Linked DNA regions of Nothobranchius furzeri. The protein of the gene in region 1 interacts with the protein of each later gene in a biochemical or structural test. Links are inferred from orthologs where the notes say so. Each region holds a gene or a part of one and is shown on either strand. Other genes may lie near its edges. The genes, in order: uba6 and ube2t.

What was found.
Region 2: the proteins of uba6 (region 1) and ube2t form a complex in vitro, tested with the Homo sapiens proteins (2 studies listed by BioGRID, with this or other methods). The link is inferred for Nothobranchius furzeri from reciprocal best matches to the Homo sapiens genes UBA6 and UBE2T.

What each region holds. Positions count from the first base shown.
Region 1 is NC_091747.1:78,729,868-78,734,122, reverse strand, and holds the start of uba6 (ubiquitin-like modifier-activating enzyme 6), read right to left. Parts: upstream 2,967-4,255; 5' UTR 2,952-2,966; coding exon 2,826-2,951; intron 2,635-2,825; exon of another isoform or gene 2,563-2,634; intron 2,386-2,562; coding exon 2,297-2,385; intron 2,180-2,296; coding exon 2,085-2,179; intron 1,993-2,084; coding exon 1,964-1,992; intron 1,748-1,963; coding exon 1,653-1,747; intron 769-1,652; coding exon 657-768; intron 1-656. UniProt on the Homo sapiens protein: Activates ubiquitin by first adenylating its C-terminal glycine residue with ATP, and thereafter linking this residue to the side chain of a cysteine residue in E1, yielding a ubiquitin-E1 thioester and free AMP.
Region 2 is NC_091755.1:24,718,535-24,723,093, reverse strand, and holds the start of ube2t (ubiquitin-conjugating enzyme E2 T), read right to left. Parts: upstream 2,841-4,559; 5' UTR 2,713-2,840; intron 2,547-2,712; 5' UTR 2,546-2,546; coding exon 2,437-2,545; intron 2,108-2,436; coding exon 2,038-2,107; intron 1,947-2,037; coding exon 1,841-1,946; intron 1,610-1,840; coding exon 1,511-1,609; intron 1,265-1,510; coding exon 1,181-1,264; intron 1-1,180. Other genes in the region: zgc:194242 (uncharacterized methyltransferase YdaC), read right to left, coding at 4,362-4,558. UniProt on the Homo sapiens protein: Accepts ubiquitin from the E1 complex and catalyzes its covalent attachment to other proteins. Catalyzes monoubiquitination. Involved in mitomycin-C (MMC)-induced DNA repair.

The DNA.
Region 1 (4,255 bases):
AACATCCGTCGAACGAGACGGATTACGCAAGCTTGTGATTGGTCAGGACGCCGCTGTTGTTTACAGCGCCGCCATTGCAAAGAGAGCCGAGGATAACTAGCGGCAGACACGGAGAAGCTTGAAGAATACCTCGCGAAAAAAACTCTAAAAACAAGAACGTTTAATTCTCCCGTGACTGGAGGAGTGAAAAGATGCGCAGCAAGCGTTTTATTTGTGGACGGAAATGACAGGAAACGTGGGTTTAGAGGTGGGGAGCGCATGAAGCGGTGGGAGAATGAGAGACAAATATGTCCGTGTTAAAAGTCTCTTATATACACAAAAAACACAATATAGACACTCTATCTTGGACCGGTACATGACAGGATACCACAGAACAGCGCTACGCCCTCTGGTGTCCTGCTGGGGAATTGCTTTGCAACACTCTCCAGGAGACGGAGAATTATGAGAGCAAAACGCTTCCATCAGTCCGTGCGTGTCTGTCCCTTGCGGAGCTGACGGAGAAGCATAAACCAGGCTTTAGACGGTCTCTCAGTCTAAATAAATCAAGTCTTCAATAAATGGACTTTTACTCCATATTCTAATTTTTTGAGTTTCTGCATGCAAGCCAGTGGGAATATACTACTATTTAAATTATCACCTGAAGAGCACCAACTTACTTGATACTTCCTGAGAAAACTGAGATCCGTGTTGTCATCCAGGGGTACGGAAGATGCGTCGACTTGGACGTAAGGATTCAACTCAGCTACTCGAGGGCATACCGCCTCCACCCTTTGAGAGCAGGGGAAGAACCAGGTCAACAAACACGAGAAGAGCCTACGAGGAGGGGCGGCCTGACACTGAAGTCTTGCTTTATAACATGAGTAGATTCGTTGGCTATGTTGTTATTGATCACATGACTAATGATCTGTTTCTAGATAAACAGGCTGATTGAAATACAGAATTAAACAGACATTAAGGCAAAACAAGCTTTTCATTTAGGCACCACGCGCTAATGGGTCTGATTTAGTCTAAGAATAGCACCAAGGCTAGCTATAGGAATCACACTGAAGCACGTTTTCTGGACATTCAAACCCTCATGTCTCATTTGCATAACAGCTAGCTAACAATTGATCATCCCACAAACACTAGCAGCTGTATCATCTTTCATAAAATGTTTTAAGACAAAAAATGAGCAAACTGTATCATCCTTAGCAACATGCACCACCCAGAAATCATCTAATCATAGATAAAGCAGACGATGCTGATTCTGATTACCGGGCAGCTCCTTGGTACGTCTCTTTTAATTAGGACTGCTCTTATGTGTATGTTTGTATTTATGTTTTAAGTGTCTGACTTCTCCTAAGCTTTGTTATAATATATCTTTAAGTGGTAATGTTGTATTTTTTCAGATGAAATATAAAACATAGAAAAACCATGACTGCTCATGCTCTAGTTAGGACTGGCTTTAGAAAAGGCTAGTGAAGCGTTGGGCTAAAAATGACATTTGATTGAAGTTAGCTGCTGGCAACACACTCCTCCAAACAAACTTTGACTCATACAAGTGTCATTCTGGTTGGTGTATGCACACGAGGACTGTGCAGATTATGTATAGTTTCTGTGTTCTGATAAATGTACAAAGAATCTGTGCAGTCCAATCGTGTAGCACACTGTACCTCCTCCTCTGGCTCGATACATCATCTCTGCGAATAAAGAAGTTGGAGCCAAGATCCCAGGTCTCACACAGCTTTGTGTCATGAAGCGTTACTGACTGTACAACACACACACACACACACACACACACACACACACACACACACACACACACACACACACACACACACACACACACACACACACACACACACACACACACACACACACACACACACACACACACACACACACACACATGCAGTAAGCACACAAACAAATCAAATTGAATTGGCGATGTTTGAAAATCACACAACCTAAAGATTGTGCCTACCTTTACACCTGCCAAGGCAATATTCTTTGCTAAACAAAAAAAAAAAGAGTGTAAACATCAAACTTGTTTATAAAGACCAATGCCAGAGTGCTGCTGGGCTAAAAGCTGCAGTCTTGCTCACCTATTTCCACTCCCATTGCTCCCATTCCACTGAGAAAGACTGAGGACTGGGCCATCTGGTGCATAGCACGGTCTCCGAGCACATATCGCTGGCGACTGGAGGGAGAGATGAAGAAGAAAGAGCGTGAGAAGATGAGTTAGATCAGGGAGAGAGGTGGTTGGTGATCATGTCTTAAGTTTCGAGTTATTTAGGTGAATCGCTGGCTAACTTGCCTGTAGAGAGAGTCGTCAATCTCCATCAAATCAGAAGCCATGGTGGGAGGGGAAATGGGGTTCAGCCGTTTCACAGATAGCGACTTCACCTATTAAACACCAATTATAACCGCAGATTATAAAACGCTGTTAGAGTTTATACCGTAAACCAACGCCCTGCTGTAACTTAGCAAGGTGGCTAAGTGTAACTGTCACCCAAGAGGGAAACAGAGCTTGACAACAACCGCTTCTAACACTCAAAGTTTAACTATAACAACGTGACTTACAAAGTACTACTATTTAGAAAGCTTGCTGATAAAAGCTCAAAGCTAGCTGCTTTAGCTAACTAGCAGCGAGTGTCACTCCTGCCGGCAGGGATGCTTTTTTTCGGTACAACACCGGTGGCGAGGACTTCTACATACACTCAATGGCACCCGCGTTAGACCATACATCACCAAAATATTAATCATTTGTTCAAGACAATTGAGCTTATTGGAAATATGAATAAGAAAATGTTTAAATGTTGTTAAAATAAGGCGGAATATCTTACGCGAATATCTGACAGTGAGCACGACGAAATACAGCAAATGAATGGCTGTGACTGGTTAAAAACTTGGAGTACTTCCGGGTTATCACAATCACGTGACCAAAATCCTCCAATAGGGCATTTTTTCATGATGAAAGTCGAAAGAAATTTTTTCATATTTTGTCAGATGTTTACCAAATAACGGAGGCTATTGAGTTATCAATATTTCAGATTACACTTTTGTGAGTTTCAAACAACACACACGCACACGCACACACACACGCGCGCGCGATTCAAAAGCTCAGCACTACAAACGTTTCAGATCATAGTCCTTTGGCGGCCATGGACGTAATTTTCACTTTAGAAGTGGGGGGGACACGGAGTGGGGTGGGGTGTGTGTGTGTGAATCTTTACAGTATGCTCTAATGGGAAACAGGCTTCAACACAAACAATTGTTTTCCGCTTGGTCCTAGAGCTCAACCAGTGTCAATTTAATATAGCGTAATATTGTTTTTGGATGGTAAAAAAAGCAGGGGTCAAAACTTGACTTTGGAAAAAGTGGGGGGGACATGTCCCCCCTGTCCCCCCCCCAAATTACGTCCATGCGGCCACAGGACTTAGGAATTTAGTTCTAATACATTTATTATTAATAGATAATATAAAACAAACATATTTATTTATAAAGTGTTACCAGAAGACGTTTTTAGTTTCTAATCAAACATGTCAAATATAAAACTATAAGTTAGGCCAATAAATACCCTACTGCATCTAATAAACACAATCAGACATTCATAGACATTTATTTATTTCAAGGTCCACATTTTGTTTTAAACAGGAAAGCCATTTATGTATTTGGATTTCACAAAGAATGTATAAAACTACTCAAATTAATAAAATGAGAACCAAATACAATCAAAAAACAATTTGGTAAAATTAATCGAAGCTCCTGAAAGACAAAGTGTGTGTGTGTGTGTGTGTGTGTGTGTGTGTGTGTGTGTGTGTGTGTGTGTGTGTGTGTGTGTGTGTGTGTGTGTGTGTGTGTGTGTGTGTGTGCGTGCGTGTGTGTGCTTGTGTTTGTGTACTTGTATGTACTACCTACTGAGGACCTTTTTCACTTCTTTCCCTACAATGTGAGGACATTTTTCAAAGTGAGGACCTCACTTTTTTAAAACAGCTTACCAGTTGTTTTAGTCATACGGTGTGAATTACGTTTTTGTTACAGTTAGTGTTAGGGAGATGTCTGGGAAATGAAATACAACTTGGAAAGCTGGAGAGGAATTTCTCAACCAGTTTAAACTGAAAGAAAACAACCAGAACATTTTTCGGTTTTCTACTTTTTAAAGGAGCAAAGGTCAACTTGTGAGTAAAACATTTACCTGTGTTTGACTCTAGTTTTGGGGCTGACGTAGAATAAAGAAAACCACATTTGTGCTTTTTAATCAAACAGCTTGAAG
Region 2 (4,559 bases), on another chromosome or scaffold:
GAAAAACCCATAGGAATGCTAATGCTAATATCGCCGATTACGTTATTACAAATTATGAATTAGAAACGTGCCAAATGATTACATTTGGAGTCTAATAGAAAGTAAAAATATCATCAATCAAATAAGTACAGACAGGTATTTTAGTAAAGCCAGAAAACTTTTAACTCCAGAGTTTTGGCTAGCAGCTATGAGTGTAACTGAACTACTCATGGACAAGACGTCAAAAACTCTAAAAACAAAATACTTCAATAAACGGGACACACTTCTTTCCTGCAAATACAATTTCACAGGTGTTGCTAATACCTATGATTCTTCAAGGGATGTGCTCAAAGAGGAGTTCAACATTATGAATAAAATATAGTGTTTTATTTTACAAATACCATTATAAACACAAACTTATGTCTTAAGAAACATTATTTTAATAACAAAACTGCTAAATTCTTTCCAACAGTATAGATGTGTAGTGTATTTTGTCCGAGTGGGTTTGCCGTACTTTGACGTCATCGGCAGTCGAAGGACCCCGAGCCGATCTTGCACCCGAGCAGATCCTGTACCGACACCGGCCGTCGGCTGACCATGACCTTTATCTATCGACATCAGCAATAGAAAAAATAAGATCGATCAACATCTGCTTTGGAGTTTGACTAATTTTTCATTTCGGTCATAGGAAGACCCTTTTTGGGAACCAGTTTCTGCACTTTTAGTAAACTCCATTACACTTTGACCAACTTAGTGTGTCTGCACAAAAATGAGTGAAGCAAAGCACACATGAACTATGGTGGCTCAAAACCTTCCCTTTACATGTACAACTTGTGCTTTTCAATGTTAAAAGATGAGGTTTTCTTTTGAAATTAGCACCCCTTAGTGGTTCAAGTAAGCCAACGCACATGATTACACCATTAAGGATAAAAAAAATCTAACCAAAATTGTACAGATTGAGTGAACAATGAAATCAACCATTTTAATAAATCAGGAAAATCACTAAATATTTTCCAGTAGCCCTACGCCTTCCTGCATCTGTGTCAGGTGTGAAACAACGGTGACAGAATAGATGGTTGAAGTTGATCCACCTCTGAGTTTGCCCCAGAGGTCTTCACAGAACCAAACGGGCTAGAAGATGAGATGTAATGGAGTGGCTGTTTGGCAGAACCACGGTGTGAATGAGAGAATAAGAGCTTACAGTGTTCTTCTGAACTGCATGTTCCTGTGTCCACCTCCTGGCCTTCTCCACAAACACGTGTTTGTTGTATTTGAACTCTGAAGACTGAATTTGAAACAGAAAATTGAAAGTCAGAAACATGCACTGTAACTATCCATTTGATTGGACATGCTCACAGATACAGTTTCAATGTTAAAATAAACCAGATTTCACAGAAACTTTCAAATTAAATATCTTAAAAACAGGTTCTCATTAAACTCCTCATTGATGTTAACTCACAGGAACCAATATGTTTATAAAAACTAACCAATAGGAAGCATGAGATCACGTTTCTAAAAGAAGATGACCTACGATATCTGCCATCAGTGGGTCATCTGGATTGGGCTCAGCCATGAGCAACTGAATCGAGGTAAGAACAGTGGAGATGTTCAGAGACGGCTTCCAGGCACCCTGAAAAAAACACAGAAAACAAAGTGATCATACACACACGAGTGAGTGTGTGTGCGTGTGTGTGTGTGTGTGGTGTGTGTGTGTGGTGTGTGTGTGTGTGTGTGTGTGTGTGTGTGTGTGGTGTGTGTGTGTGTGTGTGTGTGTGCGCTCATATACACAAACAATCAGGTGGTACAAAGCAAGAAAAAAATTAGAATAAAGCACATCAAAAGTTTATTTTATTCTCACAACCTTTGGTGGTAGTTTGAGAGCATCATGACAGATACGCCCCGAGGTGTCGATGTTTGGGTGGTAGATTGGGGTCAAGAATCGCATTTTTGGAGGCTCAAATGGATATCTGTGTGAAAAGAATGGTAAACACTTGGCAAGTTACTGTGTCTAGTAAAAAAAAACTGCAGAAGTTTCATCAATGCAAATAAAATATAAACCTCTCTGGTATCTTGACCTCAAGGGAGAAGACTCCACCTTCATAAGGAGTACCTGTTCCTCCTACTATCTCTGCAAGGAAGAGAAAAAAACAGTTTTTGAACAGCAACATCCAAGTAAATAATAAGAAAAGTTAATAACCATTATTACTAAGGATGGATATTAAAGTTTTAGACACTTTACTCATTTCGAAGTATTGAAGAACACCAAAAACACACACTGCAGTCAGATCATGTTTGTTAATTATGGACAAAAGTCTAGATTTATCCCCAAAACGTTGATGGCTGTTGTTTATAAAGACATAGAAGCCTCTGATAGTAAAAATGGAGCTACTGCATGGGTTCTGTTCTACTAAGATTGTATGATAGTGGTTTCAGATTCAGGGACTTGGTGGGACTTACGTGCCCGGAGGTCGTCGATCCGTTCCTCGGTCTGCCAGCATGTGATCCCGGGAGGAGGATCGGTGCTCAACATCTGAAGTTCACGCTTCAAACGGGAAGCCCTTTGCATTCTTTTAGAGGCGGAACATAAATAAATACATAAAATAAGGAGGGTATGTGAAGATAAACGCTGAGATAATCGTGCTTTCTGGTAAGAATTTGGTTAAACTAGCTCGGGTTAGGGTTAGCAGGCTCATTGTTACAAACAAGCATCGATGTTTTCTCTTATTCACTCACGTTTCCCAGCTGATGTCCTCCTCTGCTCTGAGCGGTTAAACTTCTCACAAGATTTACTTGTTGGCGGAGTTGTTTTTGGATTTCCCTCTCGACGCGCCGCCGCCTCGCGCTGCTTCTTCTTCGTGTAGCTTGAAATCACAGATTGGTGCATTACCTCCACCAACTGATACTAATAGAATATTACAAGTGTTTTTCTTTTTCTTTATTTTTCTCAAGATTGTCTATTTTTTTATTTAATATTGCTTCAAATATTCCGCAAGAAAATAAAAATATTTATTCTTCTTCTGTTGAAATATTTCTGGTTGTTTGCTGAAGTTTAAACAAAACAGTGTATCCTGTTTGAGTATCAAAATATTCACGCATGTTTCTAACTGTGCATCTTACCTCTTCCAACATTAATTTTTTTAGAAATTTTTCTCTAATTCTCTTCCAGTCTTTCTGTAATATACTATTTTTGACTATTCTTCTGCATCAAATGGATATTTGAATCAAATGTTTTCTCTGGCCTTTCTGTGTGGATTTTGCATGTTTTTTTCTTATCTCAATAAAGCTGAAAAATCCTATTTTTTGTTCTCTTGGGAGTAATAACATTCGGCAGAAGAAGAGAGATTTACAAATCCGTGAACGGCGAGGGGAACTACCGCCATCTAGTGGAGTTAGGGCGAAACTACACCATAGTTCTGTTAAACCATTTAGAAGAGATCATTTAGGTTTTATATTTCAATAAAGCTGATTTAAAAAGTCATAATCTTTCTTTTTCTTTTGTTTTCTTATGAATAATAAAATTTAGGAGAACAAATGAGGAGAAGATATACTAATTCTTTTTTTAGGTTTGGTAGAAACACTTCCTGAGTTTTTTCAAAATAAAACGTTTTAGCGTGTTTGCGACAAGAAAACTCGACCTAACAGTCTTTATATACTATTTAGCTGAATAAGAAAACAATTAAACTGTATTTATTTAGTTTGAAATATGATAATTCTGTGGAGTAAAAGAGCTAAACCCAGCTTGATATACAGGACTTCAAACTCAGATGAATTGTCGTTCTCCAGTGGCGACAACTAAACGACTCTCGGGTTTTGTGTGTGAAGAGAAAACTCACTTGAGAGTTCAGCCTCTTAGATTGGTATCTGTCTTGGGTCTCACCTCTTATAAATTTGCTGGATCGAGTGAACATGAGTGGTACAGAACATGAATGATTTAGTGTCGTCTGTTCTAAATTACTTAAAAAAATAATAATAACAAAGTAAAGGAGTTTCCCACATTTTATCAACTACATTAAAAAGATTCTTACTTCTTTAAACAACATTATTAGTCTATGAATGTATAGTTTTAATCATTTTTAGTGTGTTTTAGAGAAAATAACTATTCTAATTATTGCCTAGAAATGTGAATATTAACTTGACACATATTCCCAACTTTTTCAGAACTTTAACAGAAAAATGTCTAATTGCGACTAAAACATTTCAATGTAACAATTCATCTGTGTGTCTTTAAAATAGAATTCATCTGCACAATGAGAGCACAGAACTAAATGTTGTGACACAACTGAGAATCTGAAAATAATTTAGAGCTTTATCTTCACTGTGATTATTATTATTATTTAAAAAAACAAACTGATAGAATCACACATACAGCTTGACGGTACATCTCATTTTGAAGCAGTGGCAAACATCGCCTGAAAAGGGATGTTGTGATGATATTTGTCTTCCATTTTGACATCAGTGAAGCCAGAGTCTCTGAGCGCTGCCATGTAGGCATCTGGACGCCAGTTCTCTCCTGGCATCACTCGCTTTGCTCCCAAAACAGCCACATGGGAAAGTCTCATTGTGGTTACCATCAGACCTCC